4 linked regions of the Alligator mississippiensis genome follow. The protein of the gene in region 1 interacts with the protein of each later gene in a pairwise test. Links are inferred from orthologs where the notes say so. Each region holds a gene or a part of one and is shown on either strand. Other genes may lie near its edges. The genes, in order: RASSF5, SMAD4, UBQLN1 and BTRC.

What was found.
Region 2: the proteins of RASSF5 (region 1) and SMAD4 interact in binary tests that used the Homo sapiens proteins (3 or more experiments, as listed by UniProt). The link is inferred for Alligator mississippiensis from reciprocal best matches to the Homo sapiens genes RASSF5 and SMAD4.
Region 3: the proteins of RASSF5 (region 1) and UBQLN1 interact in a two-hybrid assay, tested with the Homo sapiens proteins (3 studies listed by BioGRID and IntAct). The link is inferred for Alligator mississippiensis from reciprocal best matches to the Homo sapiens genes RASSF5 and UBQLN1.
Region 4: the proteins of RASSF5 (region 1) and BTRC interact in binary tests that used the Homo sapiens proteins (3 or more experiments, as listed by UniProt). The two-hybrid records come from large-scale screens. The link is inferred for Alligator mississippiensis from reciprocal best matches to the Homo sapiens genes RASSF5 and BTRC.

The regions. Positions count from the first base shown.
Region 1 is NC_081837.1:41,643,349-41,651,208, forward strand, and holds the start of RASSF5 (ras association domain-containing protein 5), read left to right. Parts: upstream 1-4,853; 5' UTR 4,854-4,868; coding exon 4,869-5,241; intron 5,242-7,860. UniProt on the Homo sapiens protein: Potential tumor suppressor. Seems to be involved in lymphocyte adhesion by linking RAP1A activation upon T-cell receptor or chemokine stimulation to integrin activation.
Region 2 is NC_081826.1:287,955,731-287,963,368, forward strand, and holds the start of SMAD4 (mothers against decapentaplegic homolog 4), read right to left. Parts: upstream 3,011-7,638; 5' UTR 2,868-3,010; intron 1-2,867. UniProt on the Homo sapiens protein: In muscle physiology, plays a central role in the balance between atrophy and hypertrophy. When recruited by MSTN, promotes atrophy response via phosphorylated SMAD2/4.
Region 3 is NC_081826.1:202,971,547-202,978,485, forward strand, and holds the start of UBQLN1 (ubiquilin-1), read right to left. Parts: upstream 3,002-6,939; 5' UTR 2,866-3,001; coding exon 2,722-2,865; intron 1-2,721. UniProt on the Homo sapiens protein: Plays an important role in the regulation of different protein degradation mechanisms and pathways including ubiquitin-proteasome system (UPS), autophagy and endoplasmic reticulum-associated protein degradation (ERAD) pathway.
Region 4 is NC_081829.1:99,941,451-99,948,979, reverse strand, and holds the start of BTRC (F-box/WD repeat-containing protein 1A), read right to left. Parts: upstream 3,008-7,529; 5' UTR 2,914-3,007; coding exon 2,866-2,913; intron 1-2,865. UniProt on the Homo sapiens protein: Substrate recognition component of a SCF (SKP1-CUL1-F-box protein) E3 ubiquitin-protein ligase complex which mediates the ubiquitination and subsequent proteasomal degradation of target proteins. Recognizes and binds to phosphorylated target proteins.

The sequences.
Region 1 (7,860 bases):
ATCGCAATCCAGGAGCGATCGCAACCTAACATCGTACGAAGCAAAACTTTTGGATTGACTTTTCCAGGGAGCCAGGTACATTTATTTTTATCTTTATTTTTTAAAAAAAAATCCCGCTGAACATTCAAGCCGAATCTTTCATGCTGGTTCCCCGACATGATATGCCTTTGTCTCTCGGTTCTTCTGTTTGCCCTCTTTCCTATATGTGGAGGTTGGCACGGCCTTGTTACACATCAGTTCAGTCAAACACGCAGCCTTCAGTTGTGCAAAGGTCTGAAAGGCTGTGTTTATGTAGATGAGCCAGGATCCTGAGCAGTGGGGAGAGGGGGCCTTTGCTACTGATGTGATGAGACTAGAATTGTGCAGGTCAGAGTGGCACTGAATATCTCATTTAATTTATACCTCTTGCTGTTAACAGATTATGGCACTATGGGCTTTTAACATGGATCCAGCATTTAACTGCAGTCTCGCCAGTTCATGCCAAACTCCACAATGGGAGACAGAGATACGGAGAAATCAAACTTACTCTCCAGTGTAAGAGATGAAAGCAATCGTCTCTTTGCATGATTTTCCTCTGACTTAAACTAGGAGCATTTCTGCTGAAGTCAGTGAAGTTGCACCAGTTTTATGCTAGTGCACATATGAGAAAAGCTGATCCAGTGGTTGGGAGTGCTAGTCTGTGACCCAAATTCATCTCCCTGCTTTAGTACAGGTGTCGTATGTGACCTTGGGCCGGTCACTTAACTTTTCTGTGCCTCAGTTCCCAATCTACCCAGTGGAGTAATAGCAGTGCCCGGTGCACATGAAAGATTGTGAAGCGTTCGGGTACTGCGGTAATGGGGTCCAGCGCTATAGATAGTGTTACGGACAAAGAACTGCTCTGTGCATCAGGAATCCTAGTTTAGGGAAGGAAGAATCCTCTCTCGGTTGGATTCAGGAGTGGAAGTTGGCTGTTTTTCTGTTCCTACTCTTCATCTGATCTTGGCCGGATCACTACTACTTTGTGCCTTTCTCTCCTGATTTATAAACGAGCCTAGGCTTCTCGGGCATGCAGCAGCCTGACGCTCAAAGGCTTTATAGTTTCAGGTCTGCAAAGAATATAGAGCTGTGTTTTAAGACCGCTGTTGCCCTTTGTGCTGCCTTTTTATAATCTCTCCTCTCAGTGCAAAAGGCATATAAAAATGAGTTTTCCAAAGCAGAGATTGCAGGGACGTCTGAGCTGGCAGAATCCTTTTGCTACTCAGATTTTTGATTTCCCAAAAGGCTTGTTTGAGGTATGCATATCAGGTGGTTAGACCTGTACCTCCTTGAGGTGTTCCGCTTCCTTAGAAGGCAAGCCACGTTTGTGAGAAGAAAATATTCCAGGTTGCCCACTTCACGTGATCCCTCTGTGTAGCTCTACAGTGCTAGTATAATTGGAGTGGGAAAATTTAATTAGTTCCAGCTAGCTTTTGGGGCCTAGTCAACCCTCCGACTATGTAGCAGCAGAGCTATTTTGGTTGGGAGCGTGAATTTGTCCCTGTGTAGTTACACCAGTAGAACTCCAACTGCGGGGATATTGGTATAAAGGCGCTGTATAGCAATAAAATGTATTCCCCGTCCTCTATGGGAAATAAGGTTACAGTCATATAAATGCACTTCTACCTCTGTAACGGCATCCACACTATTGGAGCGGATCCATCTGAGCTATGGCAGCCTAGTTTAAAGCAAGTACAAGCCTTGTGCACAGACAAAGCGGGTGTGTTGAAGCAGAGAACGGGTTGCTGTCTTCTGAGGGTGCCAGGTACCGTGACTGCTGGTTTTCCAAGCAGAAAAGGCTAGAGAGCAGCTGGAGCAGTCTATTGGAATTTCCTATAGGAAACTTTTGCTCAGTTGTTTGCACCCAGTGTCCAGGTAAAATGCAGTAGGAACCCCTTTCTTAATGCCAAGCACTTCTCTGGTACCTCCGACTCAGAGGCTTGCCCTCTGCGCTGATTGCCTAATGCCTCCAGGCACCAGGAGATAGGAAGGTGGGGTTATTCCCCGTTGTGAAGGCTGAAATGCTCATGCCATCACCTGACTCCAGGCAATGGGGTAGAGGCGTTCAGAAGTGCTAGGTCTCCAAATAAGGGAGCAGGAATTGGTAATATTGCATTTATTGTATATGGAAATGGAGGCACCTAGGATCAGTTTGTCCCTACGCTTGAGGTCAGAGTTTATAACTGGGGAAAGTTTGTGCCTTCCAGCTAGACTCAGCCCGGTTAGAAACAAGACTTGGAGAAAACTGCAATGACCCCAAAGGCTCAGGAGTTGGAGCAGACAGGGCAGACGGTCCTCTCCGCGGTTCTTGTTCACCCACCTCTAACACTCATAGTTGTTTTAAAAAGAGCCGGGTGAGGCTTGGCCTTTCTTTTTGGCTTTGTGATTGTAAGTCTGCACCCAATAGAACGGCTGTGGGGATATTTTAAAATTCAAATGGAAGCTTTTAAAAAATAAAATAAACATAATCTGGCACTGTTGGCAAATACTAGCAAGTGCTAGCGCCTGGAAGACAGCAATGGGAAATGAGAGAGTTTGTTTTCACTTGCCTCCCACCATGTGCCACATGAAAGTAAAAGGCAGCAGTGAAACTTTCAGACGTTGGAGGCAGGCAGCTTTATAAGGGGTTTGGTAGTTTGGTTTTCCCTAGCCACTAAGTTTGCAAATGTGCAGTTCCCAATAAGTTCAGCGAGATGTGGTGATGCCCGTGACCTGTGGATCCCCAGCCCCTAAGTGCCGGGAATAAGAATTTAGACTCTCCAAAGTTTGAAGTGGTTGGGCAGCCGTGAAAATATCTTTGTTTTCACAGTCTCCAAATCTTACTTGCAAGAAAAGGAAGGAAAAGTGTTTAAGTGGGTCATTGCTTTCTATAGTATCGTGGAGCACGTGCCATGGAGCAGACCCCAGTCCTCTTGACAGTGGACACAGAGCTCAACGTCAGTCTGTACCTGGAGGAACTTGGCACAGGGGCGTAGACTCAGGGATGCTGAGAGAGGGCTGAGTGTGCGGGAACAAACCCTCCACCTGGCGTGCAGTGCTGAACCTGCAGCAATTGCTCTGTGACCAAACACACTTAAGATACAGAACCGCATAACTTACTTCCCAAGGAAGGGCAGGACTGACTGTTGTGATCAGTCTGACGCAGACACCCAAAGCTTCCTTTCAAACAGTCCTTTGGCCTCTGCCATGGCTTTGGGGAAAGTGGTTTGTTACTAAGCCAATTCCTATTACAGGCAGCCGGTCTTCACCAGCTTGGGTGGAACCGTTGAATATTTAGGCAGCAGGTTAAGATTTCCAAAGCGCCCCTAAGGCGAGATTCCCAAAGGCATTCGGGTGTGCTGGAAACCCCCCTACCTCCCTTTACACAGCTGGTGCCAAGCCGTATTTTCAGAAGGGACTAAGGCAGGGAGGATGCTGTGGTGCACTTGCACCCTTTTGATCCTGCTCTACCCAAAGTTTAAAACCAATTGCCTGGCAGAGGCAGCAGCATTTCTAGTCAAGCAGCAGTGAGGGAGCCAATGGACTTCATTCAGATTACCCGATGACGTCTCAACTTTGTTCCATGGGTGTTCACGACCTGCTCTCCTTTCTAAGGCTCTGGTTGTTGCACGAACGCAGCGAGCTTTTCTTCGGCAAGGCTGCGGTTTGTGAGCTGCTCCTGCCAGGGTAGCTCCTCTTTTGCAGCCTGCGGACCGGTCCTAACGCGTTCCCGTAGGAATTGCAGTTGTGTTGGGCCCGTAGTTATGCTACACTATGGTGTTGAAAAGCGGTATGGGAGAAAGAAGCCTCCTGGCCGCTGGATGACCTTGCAAGAAAGGAAAGAAATAAAACTCGCACTAGCGAGCAAAAAGACACGGAAGGGAGAATGAAAATACCAGCTGCAACTGCTGCAGTTACTAATGAGAGTGCAAGTGCGTGAACTTAGCCAGCAAAACTAAAATGAACATCTTGGAGAGAGAGAGAGAGAAGAGTAGGTATGAAACGGGGAAGGGACACGCACACGCAAGTATAAATGCAGGAAGGAGTTGGGAGACATGTCCGGCAAGGAGACGGAGGGGAGAGTCTCCTGTCAAGGGCAAGCTCCACCAAGTTGAACCGATTGCTAATTAGACCCACTGAGCGCTGTCCAAGGATAATAAACCCTTCTGAGCTTTCATGGTTGAACATGGATCCAAGCTGTGCTTTCTGCGTTGCCTTCAGGACCTGGAAGATGGCTCGCAACCAGCAGCCTGGACATCAAAAGCGACATCAACCCCTTCCTGCTGAGAAAAGAAAACCCTCCGCTCACGGCAGAACAACCCTCCGGTACACTTCTGTCCTGGCATCCGTCTGAAACCGAATCGCCCGGCCTAGCACCCAGCTTCTTCTGACCTCGAGAAAAATAGGGGCGGTGTTGGAGGGGACGATGCCCCTCAGCGTAGGCACCCCCTTCTCGCAATCCTGGGTTTGCCCGGGGATGGAGACACGGGGGAGACCTCCCTCCCCTTTCCTCGAGGAGTTGGGCTGGAAGCAATGAGGCAGGATCAGCCCCTACACTCGGCCCGAGCCCGCACTGAGCTGGCACCCGGAGCTGCCCCAGGGCCCGCGGCCTGTGTCTGTGCGCCCCTGAGCCGGGTCGGGGCAGGAGCCTCTGCGCCAACAGGTGCGGGGCGCCCGGCCGGTGCGGGGGCGGGCACGGCCAGCAGCGCAGCCTCTGGGGGGGGAAGGAGAGGAGGCCGAGCCGAGCCCTGCCCAGCCTTGGCTCTCCAGGGGCGGGCGCCCGGCGCGTCTCCTCCCCCGGCCGCGGCTCCGGCTCCAGCTCCAGCTCCTCCCGCTCGTGCGGTGCGGTGCGGTGCGGTGCGCGGTGCTGCATGGCGCTGGTGGGGCAGCTGCCCCGCGCGCTGCGCCTGGACGCGGAGCCCGAGGCGAGGAAGCGGCGCCGCGCCAAGCGCGAGCCCCCGCGCGCCCGCCGCCTGCCGCCGCCGCCGCTGCTGCCGGGGGACGGGGACGGGGACGGGGACGAGGAGGACGGCGATGCGGGGAAGCCCCCGGCCCTGCCCCAGCGCCTGCGCCGGGCCGCCCCGCGCCTGCTGCCCGACGTGCGCACCATCTTCCAGCAGCCGCGGGACCCGCGCGTCCCGCCCGAGCGCGGCCACGGACACCGCTTCCAGCCCGCCGCGCCCCGCCTCGCATGGTGCGACCTGTGCGGCGGCGCCGTGCGGCCCCCGGCCCTGCGCTGCGCCAGTGAGTGCCTCGCTCCCCACCTGCCCGCCTCCCTCCTCACCCTGCCTGCTCCCGCCCTCCCTGCCTCCCTGCCCAGCCGGGGTTGCGTGGGGAGCCCTGCCTGCACAGGGGCGGACTCCCCCTGACTGGGTTTCCTTTCTCCTCCTCGCCTGCCCTGTGCACGGGGCGGGGGGAGCCCCTGCCCTGTCCTGTCCCGCAGCTCTGCCTCATTGCGGGTTGGGTTTTTCCCCCCTGCGCTGCCTCAGACCGTCCCCGGCTGCGTGTCCCGGGAGCTGCCCCAGCCAGGAATAGACCCCCTCCGCCTAGACTGGGCTTCTTCTTTCCTCCTTGCCTGACCTCTCTCCCCAGCTGTGCACGGTGCGGGTGGGAGCCAGGGACTGACTAGAGGGGAAGCCTGCCCCTGTCCTGCCTCCTTGCTTGCAGGAGTTGTCCCAGCAAGGGGTAGATAGATGCCCTCTGCCTCACTGCGGTTTGGTTTTCCCTCAGTGCTGCCTCAGACCGTCCCCAGCTGCATGCCCCCGTCAGCCAGTGATTGACTGGAGGGGAAAGCTAACCCCTGCCAACAGGAGCTGCCCCAGCGAGGGCTAGATGCCCTCCGTCTGATTGACCTTTTGGTTTTCCCTCAGTGCTGCTCAGACCGTCCCCAGCTGCACGCCCCAGGAGCTGGGGACTGACTGGAGGGGAAGCTAGCCCCTGCCTGCAGGAGCTGCCCCAGCGAGGGCTAGATGCCCTCCGTCTGATTGACCTTTTGGTTTTCCCTCAGTGCTGCTCAGACCGTCCCCAGCTGCACGCCCCAGGAGCCGGGGACTGACTGGAGGGAAGGCGGCCCCTGGCTCGCGTCCCTGCCTGCAGGAGTTTCCCCAGCCAGGAGCAGACTACCTCCGCCTGTCTGGGATTTTTCCCCTGGCGGCTGACTCCGCCGTCCCCAGCTACACAGCGCGGTCCAGGAGCGCGCCTGGCTCCTCCCTGTGCCCCCGCCGTGTCCTCACCTGGCACTCGGGATGTTTTGCAGGTTTAGCTTCTGGAGCAGCCGCCAGGGTTTTTTTGCACCGACTAGGTGGATGCGGGATGTCATTTGAAGGGGTGTGGGGTGGGATCCAGCGTGGCAGTATCCGTTTAGTCGTGTGGCTGCGAAGGGCATTTGGAGAACAATTAGTCGGGTCCCTTCGCCGAGCCTGGCAGCAAAGATGCTCGTCACGCTCTGCGAATCTGTGGCAGCAATGAGCTTGCAGGGGTCGTTTTGGTCACTACCGTATTAAGGTACCATCTGGCGTTTTGGCTGGAGAAAAGAAAAATGGCGATTCTGGGAGGGCTGGTGACATGTCATAACAGTCGGTGTTGTGAAGCACGGCAAGCAGAAGTGAGGAACAAAGCCATGGGGGTCCTGGTGGGAATGAGCAGTAACTTTACCCACTATCTGTCAAAGACTTTATGGGAAATCTTCGTGCAGGAGGTCAGTGTTGTTATGCCCTTTATACAGGTGGGGAAACTGAGGCACGAGGCGATGAAGCAACATGCCCAAGGTCAGCAGACCGGTAGCAGAGCTGGGAACAGACTTCTTCTTCCTGGGTCCCAGTGTATTGTGCTCTTTACCAAGCCATCCCGATAGCTGCACTTGCTGGCCCCTAGAAGAGTAGTGCCCCTGCATGGTGCACGTGTTACTGCCAGCATATCCCTGTCATATCGGGAGGGGTTTTTTTTCTCTCCGTAGTCTCAAGGAAATCTTGGAAATGTTACACGTGGGGGGGATTTGATTGAACTTAACGATCGTGGTGGTACGCTAGAAGCGCAGATGGGAACATGCATGGCTGATTTTTGTAGGTATGAAAACTTAATGGTGGATAGAGTTGCATTTTCTTGTGAGCCGTGCTGCTGCCAAACTGCTCATTCTTTCCCTTTGTGTGCGGCTGATAAATAGACCTTGGTTTTCACTGGTGTTTTAACCTTCACCCTGCGTCTACTTGTTGAAGCAGCTGGAAATGACTGTTTCTGATTGCAACTTCCATGTGACTACTGTACTAATGGTTACAAGAGTAGAGAAGTCAGTAATTAAATTGTTCCTCCCCAAAGACAGGACTGATGACTTGAGCTGGACTGGATCTGTATTTTATTTCTCAACAGCTCCCCATTTGCACGGCGACTTCTCTCTGTCCCCTCTGTGTTCATGGTTAGCTGTTCACTTTCCGAGCCTGCCTTGTGCAGCATGTCGAACATCGTAAAGCGCATCTAATCCTGATGTGCTTGCATATAATTAAGGGCTTCTCATCGTAAAATGTGTCTGGCAGGGGACGCGTGCTTCAGAGGTTATGCCAACGCTGCAGCACAGTGTGTGCTCGGGCTCCACATGTGGATCTAGATTCGCTGTACACTCAATATTGATGAGGGGAAAGAGTTTCTGTTCTTTAAATTCACTCTGCAGGTTGCTCTGTGTGCTGAATTGCTTACGGATGCATTTCCCAGCTCTAACGAAAGAAGCAGAGATAAGGCACCTTTTTAGCTGAAGCAGCGAATGAAATGGGAACGTTTCTTCTGAGCTAAAACGTAGGTCCATTTTATTACCCATCTGCTGCAGTTTGGAAAAGGAGGTTTCATGGGAGTCTAATCAGGTTGTTTTTTTTT
Region 2 (7,638 bases), on another chromosome or scaffold:
GCATATTTTCTCACATACCACCCCCAAATAAGGCAAGAGGGGTTGGGAATTGGGCTCAGCCAGTAGTGCTTTACCAGTTGAGGGCCTGATCCTACTGGTGCCAAACTGCCTGGACCCTCATCAACTATGGTGGATAGCTAACAGTATCTTAAAAAAAATTAGCCGAGGGCTCGTCCAGCTTGAAAAGAAAGGCAAGGAAGCTCAGGGCTAAGCTAGCAGCACTTAAGTCAGCTGAAGTCCTGTTGAAGCCAAACTGCCTGCCTCTACTCCAGCCAGGTGGGCCCTCAGCTGACTAGCAAGTCCCACTGGCTGCCCACCTGGCTCAGAGAGGGACCAGATATTTCGGCTCCACAGAATCAGGAAGAAACACTTCAGTCACAATCTGTACAGCAGTGGGGAAGTATGTTGTGCACAACTTTGGACCTGCAGGTTTGTCTGTCTTGATCTGGCTTATTCTGTAACAGATTTCAACAAGAATCAGGTCCTCTACTTCCTGAAGTGTTTCTTATGCCTTTGGAGTAGAAGATTTCTTATTGTTGAAGCTTTACAAAAGCTATGTTTTTCTTTAAAACATGATGGGTTGGGGCTCCACCAGGCCCCTGTCAAGGGCATATGTAGTCTAAGAAAGAAAATCTAGAATGCACTAGATTTACCAAGTGACAGTAGCCACCATTCATACAGTCTGAATAATGAAAAAAAAATGGTTCATTACACAAGTTACCCTGTTACTTGACTGGGAAGGCTCAGTCAGGAATTATCCTTCCTTGAGCAGGGAGCTAGATCAGTTTACCTCCGAGCTCCCTTCCTATGGTAATGCAGAATGTGACAAACTTCTAGATACCTTTAAACAGCAAAAACAAGAGGCAGGTAAAGTGACCAACTGCATTTACAACCACACTTAAACTATTAAGCAAGTATGTGACAACATACATCAATGTTTGACAAAGTCTTTAACACCCCAGGCAGCTGACTTCAAGGGATATCTCACCACTGTCTAACTGTGCTACTACAACTTGAGTTTTCACTAGCAAACTTAAAAAAACAGGCTCACAAACATGCAACAAAACATTTCACAAATTGATGCAGGTATGAGCAATTTGTTGAGTTTTCCAGCCAAAAACTTTCTTTTTTTTAACCTGAAGAGGGAATAAGAACCACACACACAGGCACAATCAGCACTAAATAGCAAAAATGAGGAGTACTAGTGCAGGACTAGCCTGGCACGGATCTGTATGACAAGAACTAAAGGCAAACTAGCCATAACATTCTTTAAACATTAGCACTTTTCTTGAATTTGAATAGTTACATAGTCTCAGTTCTGAAACTGGGACAGAGCAGAAGTCATACTACAACACAGAAAACTAACAAGTCACACCGAAAGAATAATTTTGGCACACTAAGTTTTGGCACGCTAATACAAAATCAACCACAGCAATTTAGAAAAGCGTCACGGGCAATATCAGCTATCTCAAGCAAAAAAAAGCAGCAGCAATAATTAAGCTTATTTGAATTGAGACTAAGACTATATTTCACAAATGGCAAAGACCACTTTTTCTTGTGAAACGAAGAAATCTTAAGATTTAGCTGCCTACGGTGAAGTATTCGACTGTTTTTCCTCAGCTTCCACCTGCGCACTCCTACTATTTTCAACAGCATTTTCAAGTGCAACAGACAGGCCGTGTAAATTCAACAAAACAAATATTTCTAATTGAACACGTGCAAGGATTATGGTAGTATTTTTATTTAGAGAGAGAGATAGATATTTATATACATACACACACACACATATACATGCTTACACACGCACATACACACACCCCTCCCCCTTACTTTGTCACTGAAGTTAGCAATTACACTAACTCAGAAGATATAAAATGAAGAGAGCTGATGGGTAAGATCGCACGTTCACTTAACCATTTTTTAGCCTGCGCTGGCTCAAACAATAAGCTTTTTTTTTCTTTTACCAAATCCATTTACATCACGTTTTACTGAGACGGAGGATGACCAGCACTTAGAGGAAGGAGCTGCCCATGCTCTTGGTTCACCATTCAACTATGACTCCACGTTAAAGATCCTGATCTAAATGCTGTGGCCTTAACAGAGACCCGAAAGGTTCCCCCTCCCCCCGTGACCCACTGCAATACCCCTTCGGGACAGACACTTACACCGACAAACATCAAACGAAAGCAGCAAGACCCAAGACAGTTTCACAGAGAGCCCCTGACCCTACGGGCTTTCACTAGACTGCTTCAAAACACATGACAAGATCCAACTTTCAGGGGAAAAAACCTTCAAGTTCAGCAGAAAAAAAATCTCAGGAACAGAGGAAATAACTACAGCTAAACCAAGTCACAAAAGGAATAGTAAAAAATTTTAAAAACACAACACTGTGCCCGGCCAATACAGCCTGGATACGTCTGCGCGGGGTGCACTAGCTCACATCTGCTCCTGATTGAAATCTGCAAAGGGAGAAGTGCGCCGTGTTTGCGATTTAAGAAAAAACAAAACAAAAGAGAGAAAGAAAGAAAGAAAGAAAGAAAAGAAAGGAAGGAAGGAAGGAAAACAAAAACCTTTCCCCTCCGGGCTGAGACCAAGCATGGAAACATCCCAGCCCCGGCTCCGGGACGCGGCGGGTGGGAAAGGCCCCGCAGCGCCCGCAGGGCGTCGGACTGGGGCTCTCTGCCCAAAAACATCCTCTCCCCCCCCCCCACAAAAAAAATCCCCCCCAAATGGTCTTGTTTCCCCAGCGAGGGCCAAGAAGGGGAGAAACCCCCCCCAATAGAAATGACTCCTTCGTGACGTCACGAATCACTTCGCCGTGACGTCAGAGGGCCCGTTAGTGCGGATGTGGGGGGCAGGGGGGTTACCTGGGCCTCGGGCCCCCCGCTCCCCGCCCGCCCGCCCGGCGCCGCCTCCCCTGCGGCAGGGCCCGGCCCAGGCTCGGGGCGGGCGGGCGCGCCGGGCCGCGGGGAGGGAGGAGGTTGGATCCGCCGCCGCCGCCGGTTGTTGTTGTTACCGCCGCTGCCGCCGCCGCTCCGCCGCCGACACGTCCAGCGCCGCCGCCCCGCGCATGCGCCACATCCGGGTCCCTCGCGCGGCCGCGGCCGCCGCCGCCGCCGCCGCCGCCCCCCCATCCCTGAGGGGCGGACTGCGCCTGCGCAGGGGCGAGACGTCTCTATGGTTGCGAGGCGCTGGGGTGGTTGGTTGGTTGGGGTGTTTTTCCAGTTTGGAAGGGCGGCGTTTTATGTTTCAGGGTGCGGGGCCCTCCCTAGCGCAGTGTTCTTCTTTGCCTGCTCTGGTTAGAGGGAAGGGTAGGGAAGGGTGGGCAAGGGCAGGGAGCCCTGATGCTTTGGGGGTGCTGCGGAAAGTTTGTCCGTACGCTTGGGGGTGCTGCGGAAAGTTTGTCCGTACGCTTTGGGGATGCTGCGGAAAGTTTGTCCGTACGCTTTGGGGGTGCTGTGGAAAGTTTGTCCGTACGCTTGGGGGTGCTGCGGAAAGTTTGTCCGTACGCTTTGGGGGGTGCTGCGGAAAGTTTGTCCGTACGCTTGGGGGTGCTGCGGAAAGTTTGTCCGTACGCTTTGGGGGTGCTGCGGAAAGTTTGTCCGTACGCTTTGGGGGTGCTGCGGAAAGTTTGTCCGTACGCTTTGAGGGGTGCTGCGGAAAGTTTGTCCGTACGCTTGGGGGTGCTGTGGAAAGTTTGTCCGTACGCTTGGGGGTGCTGCGGAAAGTTTGTCTGTACGCTTTGGGGGATGCTGCGGAAAGTTTGTCCGTACGCTTTGGGGGTGCTGCGGAAAGTTTGTCACGAGGCCCACCAAGTAAAGTTGCCAACCCTCCAGGATTGCCCTGGAGTCTCCAGGAATTAGAAAGAAATCTCCAGGAGACTGCTGATAAAAGCTAGGGCATTCATTAAAACAAATATTAAATGTTGAATCTGATTTATATAGTAGTCCAGTAGGTTTTTAAAATGTAATAGTAATGTTGCATTTGCCTTCCTGATATGCAATGATGACATTAATGACTTCACAATGTGACGAAACCTCCCGGAATAGGTTCAAAGAGAGTTGGCAACCCTACCACCAAGTTTCTTATTGGCATTCCTCAGGTGGGGAGACTGCAGGAAAGGTGGCAATTGATTCCTTGGGACAAATAATAATGAAACTGGGGCAGGACGCTGCAGAAAGGGAGGACTCCTGGGTTTATTACATCCCTGGGTGAGAAGCCAAGCCTGCAGACAGGTGCACAGAGGCAGGCTGGCCTCCTGCCAGCTGGGCCGGCTGCATCCTGCAAGGTGGGCAAAAGCCAGCAGAGAGTTCCTCATGGTGCCCAGTGGCTGGGTCTCATTCCTGCTCCGCTGTGTGGCCAGGCCTCAGCAGCAAAAGTCACACCAGGCGACTCCTGGAGATTGGAAAGCCCCAGTGTCTCCTCCAGCTTTGCACCTTAGATTCATAGATTCATAGATGTTAGGGTCGGAAGGGACCTCAATAGATCATCGAGTCCGACCCCCTGCATAGGCAGGAAAGAGTGCTGGGTCTAGATGACCCCAGCTAGATGCCCATCTAACCTCCTCTTGAAGACCCCCAGGGTAGGGGAGAGCACCACCTCCCTTGGGAGCCCGTTCCAGACCTTGGCCACTCGAACTGTGAAGAAGTTCTTCCTAATGTCCAATCTAAATCTGCTCTCTTCTAGCTTGTGGCCATTATTTCTTGTAACCCCCGGGGGCTCCTTGGTGAATAAATACTCACCAATTCCCTTCTGTGCCCCCGTGATGAACTAATAGGCAGCCACAAGGTCGCCTCTCAACCTTCTCAACCTTGGTGCCCCTTCCTCTCCTCAGTGCCCCCATCCACAGCCTGACGTTGCTTTTCCCCCGGGCCCAACCAACCTCCATCAAACAAATTTTTCAGTCACGAAGAAGAGTACATCCCGAGCACAAACATCTCTAGGGAACGGTGGGAGTCAGACAAAACCCCTATCTCTGCCTTTGATGCATTGCAGCAGAGTAGCGCTATTATTCTGCATTTCCCCTCAAGCCCCATTAAGACATCTGGGGCCTTTCTGACCGGGAGACGTAGGGGCAGGTTACATGAGTAGGACCGAGTGCATGGCTTCCTGCCTGCTAGATAAACTGGAGAGACACGGGTTAGGGAAACCCCAGCATAAGTCTTGCCATATAGGACGGGAAGGGCTAGTATGCGGGAAAGGGCATCCTCTGCCAGGCCAGCTGGCGGAAGCTCGGGCTCCCAGGAACAGGTGTGTCCTTTTCCTTCCTAGCAGGCTCTAGCTGGGTTGAAGTTGGTGTGAAGAAAAGGATATGAAGAAACAGATAGCTGAGACTTCATTTTTCCACTTCAGCTATTGAGTTTACACACATGCATGCACCCTACCAGTTAGATTTCAGACAGAAATAGCAGTGGCTGCAGCAGTGGATAATAGGAACTGTCCTTGGCAATGATTTTGCTTCTTCCTCACAAATTGTTTTTCTCTAGGGCCCTGGGTGTCTACTGCCATGCTGCAGGAGACTGATGCTGCCTGGGGTTATCAGTGCATTTGTTCAGTAATCTTAGCTCAAGAGCACATCCTCTGTCCTCTCTGTGGAGCCCTGGGTTGGACCAAAGGAGTCTTCTGGCAGGGCGAACAGAGCGCTGTGTCTGCTCCACCTCTCCACACCAAGCCACACAAGGTCTTGCTTTGAACCTTGATTTTAAGATGCAAGGTGCTCAACTAACACAGTTCCTTAAAAAAAATGACCATGATGATAAGGTCCAAAATGAATTTCCTATACTGAGTATTAGTTTAATGATGCTGAAGTTCACAAAAATAGTGTTAGCCACCATTCACTGAAAAAAATCCCTCCTTTTCCATCTGGACTGTCTTAAATTAAACATTTTAAATTTCTTCTAGCAAAAAAACTCTCACTTTTAGGGTTGATTCTGAAATGTTTAAGGTTTGTCAAGATGGAGAACTTGGCCAGGATATTTCGTAAGAGCTCACTGTGTGCACTTATTACACCAGGATAAAGGGGATGGAGATGGGGGGGGAGATACAGCAAACTCATGTATTCCTCAATAGCGATTCTTGCCAACACCCCCTTTAGATAAATTATCCCACTGACCATAGTTGGACAACTTTTATATATAAGCCTTTCAAGGCTGGGTTTTAAAAGTTGTTTGTATAGATTTTTACAATATACAGTACTCATTTTAAACCATACCTCAGTCTATCTATGCATTATTCTACTTTGTCTGATTTGGGGAAAATAAATGTTGTTGACAGTTGCTTAATGCAATTAGCCTAGCCCAAAGAAAGCCCCACTGCAGTCACAATTAATTAATCAAGCTAAGCAGCTCCTAAAATTGAGGTAAAGGCATCAAACTCTTTTACCTTAGCTTTAGTATGACTCCCCAGCTAAAATACTAAATGGTGCCTTCACTGGTGTCAGTTGTTGTGGTGGGTCATCCCCTTTGTTTCCCCAGTTGTGATTCAATAAGACCATCCCTTTAGGCAGTTAAGTCCAGGCGGGGTTTTGGATTATGAATTCCCCATAAACGGTAGGGCTGTGCGAAACGGCAGCATTCTGTTCGATCAGCGCTTCAACAGAACAGTGTTTTGTTTCAACTTTTGTTTCGAGTCGAAACGGCTGTTCTGTTTCGTTCTGTCGAAACATTTTGCCGTTTCGACCCTGTTTTGATGTTTCGCCCATAGGATATAATGGGAAAAGTCAAAACAGGCTATAACTTTGTCATTTCTGGCCAGATTTGAATTAAACTTACAGGGATGGTAGCCCCTTCTGAGGCCATGATGCATGCCACGTTTCAAGGAGATAGGTACAGGGGGCTCGGAGAAACTGCACCCCCAAATCCTGAAAGTAAAACTCATGTCACGTGTATGTGTTAAGCCACAGTGGGGTCAAAACTGCAGGGATGGTAGCCCCGGCTGAGTCCACAGAGCCTGCCAGCTATCAAGGAGGTAGGTGCAGGGGTTCTGGGTTTTGGGGCCCTGCACCTCTGGCCACAGGCAGGCAAAACTCGTGCCAGGGGTGTTTATGCAGCTGTCTGTCTTGGGGCAGAGGTGGGGGGAAACTACTGCAGGCCTGGCTGCTAGGTCCTGCTGCAGCCACAAAGCCTGCCAGCTGTCAAGGAGGCTGGTGCGGGGTGGTTCTGGGGCCCTGCACCCCTAGCTGCTCACAGGCAAAACTCATGACATGGGTGCTTGTGCAACTGCTGCCTCTCATCAGGCAGGAGGACTGAAAATCCCCCATAACTTGTCACCAAGACCTGAGGGTAATAACTGACCACTGTACGAACATGAGCCAGCAATGCGATGCTGTAGCCAGCAGGGCCAACCATACACTGGCATGCATCAATTGATGCATCTCCAGCAAAACCATTGCAAAGAAGTGATTCTCTTGCTCCACTCAGCACTGGCGAGATTGCAGCTGAAGTACTGCATCCAGTTCTGGGCTCTGCACCTTAACAAGTAGGTGGGCCTAGTTGCAGGAGGTGGCCAGGCTTCCAGATGCACACCCCGATCCTCTGCATTTCCCATGCACACTCCTGCAGCGTGCTGGTTGCTGGAAATCCAGAGGAAATGTTGCATTTGTCTCCATCCAAGGTCCGAGAGGTCCAGGAAACATAACTT
Region 3 (6,939 bases), on another chromosome or scaffold:
GGACATTATTTGAAAATTCTACCACAGTGACAGTAACACTTTACACATCAATCAAGCAGCACAAAACAGACTCAGCATTGTACAGGCTTTTCTAAGGAGCCAAAGCATTTACTTGGATTCCAACTGCTCTACTCTAAAGCAAACAACCCAGTGAACTCTATTTAAAGGGACAATCAATGTCTCAAATTACTAACCATTTCCTTCATTACAAGGTGATTTGAAAAGCTATTTAGGTACGTCTACATGACAATGGAGTACCATGCAGAAACACCTATGAAAGAACAAGCTTATGTACTAGAGCCTACACTGCACCTGGCAGCTAGATAAGAAATTTACCCTTTCTGGTTCAAAGAGGTACCACGTATGACCTCAACTTGCATAGGACTACACAGGCACTCCAGACATACCTATAAGCTACTAAATAAGTTCAGGACCGTTATCCATTTTTGGAAGAGGATAATGCCAATAACTTGCTTGCATTAGTCAAATAAGCCACTGTTCACAACAGATACAGACGATTTGATGCTCAAAATTTATTTGGTTCTGTCTGTACATTGAAATTTTCACTGCTTATGCAAATGAAACCATTGTTGATACTGTTAACAATAGGTCAGTTTCATAGTGTAGGCGTAGCTACTAATACCTAAGATACAGGAACTGCAGGCCTTAAATCCCTGTAGGGGTTAGAAGTTGCCTCCATTTTTGTATAGGAATCAGAAGTATGAGGGCTGGAAGTCAGAGGTGAAGTCTTCTTGGCTTCATTACAATCAGTGGGAGTTTTTTCCACAGACTTCAACAGAGCCATGATTTAACTCAAGGTCTCCTCAACAGGGTAAGCTTATTTTAACCACCTTGCTTATCGTATCTGCATTTTAAGTGGGCACACAAATATTCTGTAAATCGCTTTGTGAAAGCATCTCATGTCTCTGTTTAAAAAAAAAAAAAAAAAAGCCTAGCAATTTCAATTTTTAGACAGCTGTCAGAGGAAACACTTCACCTGTTTTAAAGCTTCACATTTAAGAAATGCAATTCAAAATTAAATGTCTAGCTTAAATGTCTTTGGAACTATTAATGGCAAAAGTCACATCTAAGTGCATTTCTCTTCCCAGTTAGTTATAAATACAAATGTCAGTGTATCCATTTGCAACTGGAAAGCTGTTTGAGCAAACCCTAATCTAGTGCCTGCAAGACCACAGGGACATTTTTTAAATTATTTCTTAAAAGGCTTTTAGGTCATCAGCTTATACTTAATTGCATAGTGTCATTTTTACCCAGTAAGGAGCTTTAAATTAAGGAGGAACATCCATCAGTTTTTGTGAAATGTGCATCTATATTCCCCAACCATCTCTAAACAGATCAGATGTGATGCTGTACAGGTTTGACAAAAACAGCAGAAATAAAACCAGTCAGTTTCAGGGATACTACTCAGGTCTCTGTGAGCAGCGAGGAAATGCAAAGAACAATGTCCATTTTACACTGCTGTTTCTTGGAATGGCAGTGAGCAGCAGCAAAGGCAGATGTGCTTGAGTTTTATACTGGGGAGAAAAGCCAGAAAACATGCTTGCAACAAACTAACAGAGAACACCCAACCCTGCCACAGCTCCATGGTAGCATGGTGGAGCCTAGAGATGTTTCCCCTGCTCAGCAGTAAAACAGTGAATTTTACAATTTCAGACATGTTTAAGCCAAAAGCTGAGATAAGAGACTGAATCCCAAAAGGGCTCAGGGACGATACCCTGGAAGAAATTCCAGCATCCTCCCCCTTCCTGACAGCTAGCAAGAGGGAAAGTCTAGCCAGGGGGCTGGCCCTGCATCTTGCTACTGGAACCCCCATCTTGTTTTGGCAGCCTTGTCCTAAAAGGTGGCTTTGTTCTTTAGCTACCAGGCAGCTGGCACGTCAGTCTCTGCATGTAGACACTGGCCATGTACACAGGCAGCAGGCTGGGCAGGGTGGCCCCTTACAGACTAACTCACAGGCACAAGCCAAAGGCTACATACAGCCTGCTATGTCAGATGCTATGGAGAAACAGGCAGCAGTACCACGTGGGAAGAATACAGCTCATTAGGCCACAGAAAAGGGAGCTATGACTTCAACAGGAACGCTTCCAGCTAGGCTGAAAAACTTGAATGCATTTCAACACAGGTGCAAGACCAGAGCAGGCTGTCCTTGGCCTTGGAGCCCTATTTTTTTTTTTTTTTGGGGGGGGAGAGGGGGGCGGCGGTGTTCAGCCAGACAGCTCTGGCCCTAAACCCACCTCTTTCGCTAGTTCCCTGCTCTTTTCCCACCACTGCCAGCCTGATCTGCCCCGGAGGACAGCAAAGCAGTGGCACAGGCTGCCTAAAGAATTTGTGGAGTTGCCATCCCTGGAGACCTTTAACACAAAGCCCTGGCTGGCGCCACACAGATGGGAACGCCCTGCTCAGAGCAAGGAGCTAGACTAGACCTCCACAGACCCTCCTTTTCTACCATCTCATGGACTCGCACTGGGTCCGGACTGGGGTGGACAGGTCAGGTCCCCAAGGGGGGTGTGTGGGGGATGATTCAGCGGGTGCCACTCACCCCAGCCGGCCCCGCACAGGCCGGCGGCGCCCGGAAGCGGGGGGGGGGGGGAAGGCCGCGCGCTCCGCCCGCCCCGAAGCCGCTGGGAGCTCCGAGGCGACGGGGAGACGCCCCGCGGCCCTGGACGAGAAGGGGCGCCCTCTCCCCCGCTCCCTCCTCACCTGCCGGACGCTGCTGGTCTCGGACACGGCGAACTCCTCCTTCTCTTTGGGCGTCTTCACGGTGACTTTAATGATTCGCGGCTCGGCGGCGGGGGAGCCCGGGGGGCTGCGGGCCGCGGGGGGCCCCTCTCCACTGTCTGCCATGGCGGCGGGGAACCCGGCTCGGGACACGCTCCCTCGCGCCGCGCCGCCGGAAGCCCTCGCGGCCGGAGGGTTCAACGGAAACAGCCCGGCGGAGCGTGGCGCGCGGTGATGACGTCGCCCCGCGGGGAAGTTACTAGAAGGGGGTGTCTCCCGGCTTGGCGTTGGAGACGCGGCTCAGCCACGCTGCGCATGCGCAGCAAAGTGACTCTGCATTGTGCGTGCGCGGTAGGGCCGGGCGGGCAGTGCGCATGCGTGGGACCGAAACGGGGTGGTGTTCCGGGCTGTGAAGAGGGGGGTACTTCCGGCTACTGCCGGGTCACTCGCTGCGCGTGCGCATGTAACACTAGGGTAAAGGGTGCGTAGCAGTCCTGACGCGCATGCGCTGTGGCTGGTTGGGTTCGGCCGCCGGTCGTGTAGCTTGCTCTTCCAGCTGCGCGTGACCTGAGCACGGGCTCAGGCGGGGGGTTAAGGCTCAGCGCAGCTTGCCCCCTCCCCCCAAAAGTGAGGACGGGCTACAATATCAATTCAGGAACAGCACACTACTAATACAACACCCCCCACCCACTCAGTTGCTTTACCCTCGTTTTGAGAATATGCTTGCTGGTGCTGATCACCCCACAAGGCAAGGGACAGAAGTTACACATAAACGGGTTGAAGTGATCAGAAGCTGGTTTAAACCTATAACAGAACAGAAGTTCAGTGCACACAGACCAGTTTCAAAATGGCTGAAACCAGTTTGAGAGAAACCTGGTTGAATGTAGTATCAGCCTGAACTGATTTAGGTCAAACTAGTTTATAGAATTTCTGTCCCAGACCCCTTCCTGGGTTAAGTTAAACCAGCCTCCCAGCATGCTCTGCAGCCCTGGGTGGTGCTGTACTATGCGCTGTGCTCCAGAGAGCAGGGCTGGCCCTGCCCTTCTGCTCTCTAGCTGGAGTAGGGGTGGGGCTATGGCCAGATGCCAGCCTGCCATGGCCCCCTGAGGCAAAGGGGGCAGGGAGGAGGTTTATTTCCCCCACCCACCAGGGGACCACAGCTGGGGTCTGCCTGGCCAGGTGCAAGCAGCAGAGGCAGTAGCTGGGTTGGGCCATGCTGCAGTCTCTTGGTGGGAGAGGGGATGGAGTGGGGAATAAACTTCCTCCCTGCCCACTTGGCCTTAGGAGACCATGCTAGGTTTGCGTCTGGCCACACCCCAGGCAGCAGCGGGGAAGCTGTAGATGCAGCACAGCCCTGTGCACTAGGGGCAGGGCCCTACCCCAGGGCTTCCCAGCTGTTGTCTGCACACCTGGTAGCTGACCGCAGTTCGGCAGTGGTGTTGGCACCTACCTGTACGGCCAGGGCAGGCACCCAACAGTGATGGCGGCAGCAGGGAAGCCACAGGGAACCTGGAGCCTGGTACACGGGGCTGTGCTGTGCCACCACTGGATAAGGGAACAGTGAGCACAGTGCGCCCAGTTTGGTGCCCAGGGGACACAGGTCATAGTGCTGGGGCTCAGCAGGTGAGCTCCTGCCATGCACAGCATAGCAAAGACTGTGGCCGTCTCAGGCGCTGCGCTCCAGTGGGTAGAAGGGGCCACTGGACAGGAGCTTTCCTTTATGGAACTTTGCTCCTAGGTCCCTCTCTCCCCACAATTAGGCCTTTGCTTCTGGGCTGCCCCAAGTAAAATTAGGCACCAGCAGCTGGGAAGGTGCAGTGGGATCACCTGCTAGCTGGGACAAGGGCTTTGGGGGTTCCAGGCCATGCTGAGCCATGAGCAGAAGGGAACAAGAGGGGTAGACCCTGGCTGGGGTCCCTGCAGGCCAGGCTGGGGGTTTAAACCCCTGTCCAACGAACTCAGTCTGCTGAGGCCTGGCCACACCTGTCTCAGTTCAGCTTCCCCCTAGCCTGAAAGGAAGATCTCTGGCTTCTAGCCTGAGCCATCACAGGCATGTGCCTGCATTTCCAGAATCAAAACTGAACCTCTGGTCACTTGCAAATCAGTTCAATCTACATTGGTTAGACTAACCTGCAAATATTGAATCAATTCAGGCTCTGGCTTTTTGAATGTCTGTCCCTAGCCTAGATCACACTGCACCCAGTCCTTGCAACACAACCTAAAAAAACACTGACTCCTGCTTCCATTGCTGTGTCAAGAACACTACAATGCCCTGAAAGCATCCGTTCCTCACCACAAGCTGATTCCTGCACTGTGTAACACCTATTTCAACCAGCCATTATTCCATGGGTGCGTCCAGACAAGCATGGACATGTGGTACATGGCACCTAAGACCCATCTCCGGTGCCACACACTGCACATGTAGGCATTCCCCATGCTGCTACTTTGCAGTGCAGGGAGGAGGGGGGGGGTTGACCCCAGGGGAGCCTAGGGTCAAAATAACCCACACCAAAAAAAGCAGTGTGTTGCACATGGCCGCAGCGCATGCTGCCCACAATTGGAACCTGGCTGGCCAGTGCCACACTTGGGCTGCCAGCTAGGTTTCCAGCTGCAGGAGTGCCACAGCTGCTGTTCCCTATATCCCCCAGAACCCCAGGTAAGGCATCTGGGGCCAGCAATTATGCTGGCCCCAGCCTCTCCTACCCCACCCAAAGTAACCTGCCACATGCCAGAGCATTCCTGGCACAGGTGTTTCCTGGGGATAAGCACCTGCAGTGCAAGGCATTCAAATGTAAGCTGTCTCATGGAGATACCAAATTCAGATGGAAGTAACTACTGGCAACTGACAAATGAACTCAATGGATGACCAAACTATACACAAGTAAAGAACTGTGGAAGAATTTTATCACTCTGAAATTAGGCCCAGGTGTCGGTACTGCTCAAATTGAAGTCAATCTTATCTTATTACCTCCACCACCCCAGCACATTGCCAGCATTAAATTATACAGGTTGTGAACTGCTAGTGGGGCTCCCATAAATGGAAGGAGAAAAAATTATTGGGAGGGCTGAGTGCATCTGTGCACCACACCCCTGCACCCAGCAGGCAAGTGTGCAGGAAGGGCGGGGGGGAGGGGGGGGAAGATGCAGATTGAGGTCCCTGCGGTGAGGGAGGGAATGGGGCAGAGGCAGGGGTAGGGACTGCGGTGAATGGGGCCCTGTGGGACAATCAGAGCCCAGGCGTTTCATCCAGGGGTGCAGGGGGGGCTCCTGCTGCTGTGTGCACCCTGGCAGAGGCCTGGGGGGCATGTGCCCCCCCCCATCTGTTCACGAGACAGAGACAGCTCTGGGCCCTGCTACAGCTGCTCCAGGGGCAGCACGCGTGTCCTGCCACTGGGCGAGCTGGGGGCACGGTGCAGCCCAGCAGCGGCAGGCGCGTAGCGTCCTACCACTCCTGGGGCAGCTGTAGTGGGGCCCAGAGCCTGAGCACACAACGACAGCCACCTCTGCCTCACCTGTAGGTTGGGGGGACATGTGCCCCTCCCCCCCCAGGCCTCAGTCAGGGTGCACACAGCAGCAGAAGCTGCCCCCCCGCCCGGACAAGCTTCCCAAGCTCCGATTGTCCCAACACCCAGCCTGGCCAGGGCCCCATTTACCACAGCCCATGCCCCTGCCTCTGCCCCACTCTCTCCCTTACCATGGGAACCTCGATCTGCCTCCCCATGCCCCTTCCTCCTAACAGAATAGACTGATGATATTTGCCTGTTCTCAGGGCTGGCCCACAATGTTTTGGGGCCCCCTGATGCAAAGAAGCTGGCAGTAGCATGGTGGGGGGGGGGGGAAGAGAGCTGGTGGCAAGCAGCTGAAGAAGCCAACGGCAGTGTCAGGGGCAGGGGCTGGCTGCGGGGCCCCCTGCAGCTGCAGGTTCTATTGGATAAGATGAGTCGGCCTGCCTGCTATGCTGGGCAGCCAGGGATTCATATGCCAGGCTGCAATCCTGGCTGTGTGCATGCCCCTCCCCACCCCTACTGCAGCCACCTGAAGCCTGCGGCCAGGCAGCCCTGCGGCTTTACCTGCTGCCCCGCATTTGGCGGGGGCTGAATCCCTGACCTTCTGCCACCTGTGGGGGTGCCCTGCCTCAGTGAGAAGGCACAGAAAAAATTAGAATCTGCTGCAGTCCATCTCTCTCTCTCACACAACCTT
Region 4 (7,529 bases), on another chromosome or scaffold:
AAAATCATTGCCAGGGACCAGGCAAGCATTTTTTAAATGAAAAATAATCATACAGACAAGAACAAAAATATCACCACCTACAAGGCTGCTTCCAGCCCTTATTGTTTGTTGTGTGAATCCGGAGCCAAATTGTAAATATTGTACTGGGGCCCGGAGAAATAATGAGTCTGGTCTTTTCAAAGAGTGTTTCAATATTTAAATAAGGAAGGCACCTTGACACTTGTGAAAAGATGCTGTGCAAATCAATAATGAATAGATTGGACTGAAGTGAGCCATGCTTTGACCCACTTAGTAAGAATCAAGGTATGCCAAATTTGTCATCCACTTGGACTGACAGGAAAATGTACTGTGGATGAGTCAGCATGGACTGAAACGCATCTAATCCGTCTTTTCCAGATCTACGCCTGTACTTACGTGGCTCTCCTCACTATGGCATCTAAGCAACTCCAACTATTTAAATATCAAGACAACACCCAGTGGATTTCCCCCCCACAACCTGGTTCAGGTTAAGAAAACTTTCTCTCGTCCACCCCATCCTAACTGATGCAGAACCTCTCTAACCATGGAAGGGAGAAAAGCAAAAGACGCCGTGAAGCTCAGCTTTGCCTGTCTAATTACTGGGGAGACACTCAGATCCTATCAAGTTCAGTGCTGGGGAGAAAAAGCCAACAATGCATTAAAAAGAAAAGTACTGCTCCATCCTCTGCCAATTAGCAGAAGACAACATGTGAGCTGTCCACAGTTTTTTCTTGCTTGGGTGCTTGTCTACGTGGGCTGCAGGTATGCATGTGAAGAACTTACTGCGTGACAGCTGCACTCAGAAGAGACACGTTTGACATTTACTTCTCAGTACACGGGGTGTCTTGGCCACTCTTAACACTCAAAGCGAATCCAGCAACTTAATTCTGGTTTCTCTGCAGTCTGTGGGGCACAGATGGAGGGCAGGAGGCCCGATGGGCCTCAGGGAGCACAAGCCAATCTCAAGGAGGGCTCTGAATGTCTGGACGAAGAGCTCAGACTGGAATCTTTATTCCATGGGGACCAGCGCAGAGCACCCGTGTGATGCGTTTACAATACCAGGAAGCAGGACGCCTTATCAGCTGGGCCCTTTCCAGGGTGCGAGGCTTTGTTACACCTGAGATCTAACGAGTTGGACAGATCCAACCTAAGTCACGAATGAGTGGACCAACCTGGCCAGATCCACACGCAACGGGATCTCTTGCAAACTTCTGATCGATTATAGATGAAAGGAGGCAATTTTGACTCCCAAAGCTACTCAGGCACCGCATACGTTTCCCACCTCTACCACCTGAAAGCCTGTAAATCTAACAAAAATAAAGGGCGCTGAGAGAAGAGTCCAATGGTCTGAACAGGAGGAGAGAAGGCTTCAAGGGGCTATCAATTGTACAAGAAAATAAATGGAGGTCATTATACGCTGAGAATTTCTACCGCTTTTGAAGTGCAAATGAAAACCAAGATTTGTACCAAGTGTTTCGCTAGTTCCACCTGGGGCATAAATTCTGAGGGTTTAAACTGATTTTTTTTCCCCTTTTTTTTTTTTTGCTCCCGAGGAAGAGATTTAAATCTGTGCCACTGAAAGGACTAATCCAGAACAAACTTGGAGCAAACGCTGCCTGTCAACTGACTGACATCCTCGGAGGCAGAAGACTTGAGCCCACCTGAAATGAACGGTCAGTTAACGTGGCGTGGATGTTTGTGCAAATGTCTTGATGCGACTGTTTTCCAGCCCAAACCAACCACAAAAAACCCCCCAATCTGGAATTAAACCTGTGGTCAAGACGAATGAAACGAGAGTTGAAACCAGTGTCTCTAAACCACTAATCTACACAAACCAGACTCGGAGGCAGACGCCCCCAAAAACTAGTGTCTGGCTCAGGATCCAAGATAACGGGCAGGCTCGTTCTTTGAAAAGCAGCGAGGAAAAGGAAAATATGGTGGGCGGAAAGAGCGAGAGAGGCCGGCCCCCAGCCGGTGGTAGAAGGGGGTGGGGAGGAAAAGCGATGGAGACGGGCTGTGACGGGGGGGTCGCACCCACGGGACCCCCCCGCAGAGCAGGGGCAGGGGCAGGACCGGCCTCCCCCACAGGCCCTGGTGCCCGGGCAGGCTGGAGTGCCCGCGACACGTCTCTGCCCGGCGCGTGCCCCCTCCCCGGGCACCGTGTCCCTCTTCCGCAGGCTCGTGGCCCCCAAATCCTACCAATGGAGGGGATCCCCACCCCAGAGCCCCCCAGCCAGCTACCCCCCCACACCCCCCATCCAGCTCCTAGCCTCAGCAGCCCCCCCCCATTGCTTTGTACCCCCCCAGCCCATGCTGGGGGCACCCCCATAATGCCCCTCCCCCCACCCATGCATTACCATGAGGACCCCCCAGGCCCCTCCCCCACTGCCCTGAAGACCCTCCCAGACTCCTGCATCAGCCCTTGGGGGGGGAACCCCCAAATGCCCCTCCTCCACCCCCCACAGCCCTGTTGGGGGGGGGACACACACTGCCCACCCTTTTTTTGGGGGGACCCCTATATAATGCCCCTCCCCCACCCCATTGCCCACCCATACCCTTGCCTTAACCCCCCCCCCCTGCAGGGAGGCACCCCCATAATGCCCCTTCCCCACCCCCACTGCGCTGAGGACCCCGCACAACTGCCCCTGCCTCAGGCCTTGGTAGGGGGCACCCCATGACCCCCCAGACGCCCCTTCCAGGCCCTTGCCTCAGGCCTTGCGGGGGGTGGGGCACCCCATCACGCCCCTCCCCCACTCCCTGCCCCTAGGGCCCCCACCCCACTGCAGGCCCGGGGGGGGCACCCCCATCAGCCCCGCAGGGAGCTCTTAGCCCTTCCCCGCCCCTCACCATGAACTTGAGGGCCTTCTCCTGCAGCACGGCCTCCGCCGGGTCCATAGTCCCGCCGCGGGGCCGGGCCGGGCCGGGGCCGCCCCCTCCCTCAGCGCCAGGCCGGAGCCAGCGCAGGCAGAAACCTGCGCTTCTCTTCCGCCCCCCCCGCCCCGCGCGCATGCGCCGCGCGCAGGCCCCCGGGACATGGAGTCCCCGGCCGCGGCGGCGGCGAGGGCCCGGGGAGGGAAGGGGACTACAACCCCCAACAGCCCTCGCGGCCGCGGCCCGGCTCCCCGCCGCGGGGCTCATGCGCAGTCGGGAAACCCGCGGAGGCTCCCGGGAATTGTAGTTGGCAAGGGCTCTGAGGGGCCTGATGGACAGGCAAGGGCAGGGGGAGAGGGCTCAGCTCCTCATCCCGGGGCTCGCGTTTAATTCTGCCAAATGCTACATGAAGCCCATTTATATAAGAGATAGAGATACAGCTAGAGATACAGATATAGATATATATAAGGGATAGATATTGATATTGATATTGATATAGATATGGGACATATATCGATTATATATATAGAGAGAGAGAGAGAGAGAGAGAGAGAGAGAGAGAAATATGGGAGATAGATAGATATCTCCCATATCTATCTATCTATCTATCTATCTATCTATCTATCTATCTATCTATCTATCTATCTATGGGTATAGGATAGATAGATAGATAGATAGATAGATAGATAGATAGATATCTCTCTCTATATAACTATCTAGATATAACTCTATCACCCATAGATAGATAACCCTGAGTCAATAGATATATATGCACATATTAATTTGTATATATTAATATGTTTATATATATTCATTTTAAAAATATTTCTTAGGGCACAAAACCTGAAAAATCCGTGGCCTTGATAAAAATAAGCATTTTGCACCTAGCCAAACAGATCGAGTTTAACCTTTACAAGTGTCTTATGTCAAGCACAGCAAACATATTTACACAAAAGCCACGAGAACAAGTGCAGCTAAAAGAGCTGGCTGTAAAAAAAAAAAAATAAAAAAATTGAGGTATACTACAAATGTCGCCTTTTTGTGAGCTACGAAAAGCAGCCAGTTTATGTTTAAAGAGTTCATTGCAATTCTTTCCATTTAAAATAAAAATCCTATAAATTAGTAAGGAAACCATGAGGATTACTGAGGAAAGAATACACTTGACATATTCATAGACTCACAGACAGTGAGAGCTAGAAGGGACCTCGGGAGGTCACATCTAGTCCAACCCCTGCTCCAAGCAGGACCAGCCCCAACTACATCATCCCAGACAAGGCTTTGTCTAGCCGGGTCTTCAACACCTCCAAGGATGGAGACTTCACCACCGCTCTGGGTAACCTGTTCCAGTGCTTCACCACCCTCTTTCTGAGAAAGATTTTCCTAATATCCAACCTCAACTTCCCTTGCTGCAGCTTGAGCCCATTGCTCCTTGTCCTGTATCTGCCCCCACTGAGACCAGCCCAGCTCCATCCTCTGTGCAGCCCCCCTGCAGGGAGGTGAAGGCTGCTATTCAATCCCCCTTCAATCTTCCCTTCTCCAGACTAAATAATCCCAATTCCCTCAGCTTCTCCTCACAAGCCATGTGTCCCAGCCCCAGATCCATTTCCAACCCCCTAACCCCCATAAGCAGATCAGGAAGGAGGCATGGGAGACATGGCCAGAACTGCAGGCTGTGGGAAGCCCCCTTCCTGAATTCACATACTCAGTTTGCCTTAACCCTGAAGTGCCCCAGCACCCTTCATCAACAAAGAGAAATCGCTTGTTAATTATTTAAATAAGGACCGGACTTCACTGGGAAATCAGGTCTTGTTTGCACAGAACATGGGGAGGGGGTGTTAGCAGACCCTTGTGAGTATGTGTTACTCAGGGGCCAGAACCTGACTGGGCTAGACTCTGTACACACCATGAGAACCCCTGCCCCCAAACTCTGATGGTGTAATACCACCTCAAATGTGCCTGCAGTTGGGGACCAGTGGTGCTAAATACCCAGTAAAATGGATGAAGCTACAGATATGGGACTTATACATGCCACAATTTTTGCCCTTTCATGTGCAGCAACTGCATGTCTGTTTGCACGCGCGGGATTTCCCAACGCTTTAAAAGTCTTTCTTGTGCATTAAAGTAAAACTCCTCAATGTAGTTTAGTTTGGCTTGCTGGGAATGAAAGCATTGCGTCCATGGATTCGTTGCAAACTAAAAGTCACATTGAAACCCTGGCTGTTGCTCCATGTCAGCACAACTCTTCCTCTGCTTCTATCTCTCTGCTTCCCCTCTGCCCTAGGTCCCCTTGCACATCTCTGTGCTCTCACCCCTGGATCATTTCATTCTCCTTCCTGCCTTCCCTTCAGCTCCGAAAGGCCAGTCACACCTTGCGTGCCAGCCAGCCCGTCCCTTCCCTCCCCCGGTCTTGCAGGCTGGATGGTGATGCTTAAAGCAGGTTGTCATGCCTGACGTGTCACCGCGCTGGGTATTTCCCAGGCTGTTGACAAGACTGCCTACACTTTCGGCATTACCTAAATAACAGTAATTAGGATGAGGGAGTAGTGTAATTAGAATGGAGCCACTCTCCACTGCTGCAAGAGGCTGGGAGTCCCTAGAGTTTGGGCTCTGACGGCTCTAAGTCTCAGCCCTCCAGGCGTGCGGCAGCTGGCAGGGAGGTAAGTGGAACCTTTCTGTAGCAGCGGGAAAGGTTCAGTGGTTTTGCTTTTGTGCTTTATTTGTCAATAACATTTGAGGCCGGCTTAATTGTAGGGAAATTGAAAAGTGTACTGCTGCGGGAGCCCGCACTGCTACCCCAAAGCCCTTAAGGCTGCTTTATCTATCGGTGACTTCTCTGAGCTGAACTTCTTCTGATTATAACAAGCACAGACCAGTGAAAGGAATTACAAAGCTTAAATTGTGCCTGACCTCACATGCTGCCAGGGGGTAGCTCTTTTATTCGGCCTGAAAGGGAGACCGGGGTTATTAAAGTGGCTGTTACGTGTATCCCTACAGGGGCTGGGCACCCTAGGAAGGGACCAGGATTGCATTCTGCTTGGCACTGAGCAAACCCACAAGAGGACATGCCCTGCCCCAAGGACCTTACAGTCCAAGGCAAGAGACAACAGGTGAATACAGCTAAGGGAGAGCACAAGGAAAAGGCGAGGCCAAGTGCTCAGGTACAGGTGTAACATGTGGGAGGCTCTGTGACGGCTTGCGGATTTTATTGGGATCTTTCTGCGTTATGGTGTTATGAATGATGTTGCGTGCCTCATTTTCCCCACCAAGCTCGTACATGGGGAAGGAATGGGCTAAAGAGACAAGGAAGCAGGAGATGACAGATGGACCTCTGCCAGCCACAGCCCTCAGTAGCTTTGTTGACAGATCAGCAAAGGTGAGATGGCCAGGGGGCTGGAGGGAAGGTGGACGAGACCAGCATAGGAAGGGGTGGAGAATGGGAACAAGGTGTCAGCTCCTGGCCTGAGAGGCTGGATCGGAGACCAGGAGAGGATCTTCGGGGGCTCTGGGCCTGGAAAGAGAATAGTGGAGCGATCTTCATGGTTAGCTGGGCTGTGCAGACTGGACGGGGGACAGAGGAATGGCGTAAGCCTTCGAAGAGGGGGCAGACACCCTCTGGCTGCGTGACTTCGGCCCTAATTGAAGCAGGTGTGCATTTTTGTGGGAGAGAGCTGGGATAAAATGAACAAGCTTTTGAAAGCAAGAGCTGCCTGTTTGCTGCTTGGGACTTGGGGCAGCCCTTGTTCTCCGCAGCAAGAGAGGGTAAAGCGCCTCTCCCGGGGCACAACTGGATGCAGCTCCAAGGAAAACCAGGAAAGACGAGAGACCAAAAGGCCAGGGTTTCAGAAGGAGCCCGGGCTCCTCCACTTGCTCTAGGAGACACAGCAGGGCTGGCTTTGAGGTGCACTTGCAAAGACTGCAGTTACCCCTTGGAGGGGACTCTGTGACAGGCTCCATCACGTGGATATCCCTGGATCGCTGTGGACATGCGGCACTTCATCGGTACAACTTACACCGGGGTATCATGACGGCTGACTTTTCCCTGGGCAGCTCTACACCTGATTCGAGACCCTTACCCCAGGTTAGCAGCTTGTCTTGTACCCATGAGCCCCTTTATCTTGCCCAAAGGCAGGTAAATGTGTTGTGCATCCAAACTCCACCCCGACTGGGCGAGAGGCAGTGATCTCAGTGCACGAAATGGAGATCCAGAACTATGGAGGGTCGGGGGGTGAGAAGGAACCGATCCCTTTTTGCCCTGCCTGCTCACACCGCAAAGAGGCTGGACATGAGTGCAGGGCAAATTTGAAACAAATGTAGGTACAAGTGATGTGGCTGAGAGTCACCGAGAGCCTGGCTGCCCGTGATTGCTAGAATCATCCTCGAAATCCTGTAGCCGCAGGGCTGGAGAGGACCTGCGGAGGTCAGATCGAGTCCAACCCCTGCTTGAGGCAGGATCAGCCCTGTGCAAACCAGCCCAGAAAAACCCATCATCTAAACTCTACATAAAACTATTGCCAGCCCTGACACAGCACCAGGCATCACACCTGAACCTGCCACGTGGAAAGCAAGGGGACTGTGGCCACCAGCATCCTGCTCCTATAAAAGGTTGTTAATAGATGCCCCAGGCCGAGGCCGTGTCCCCA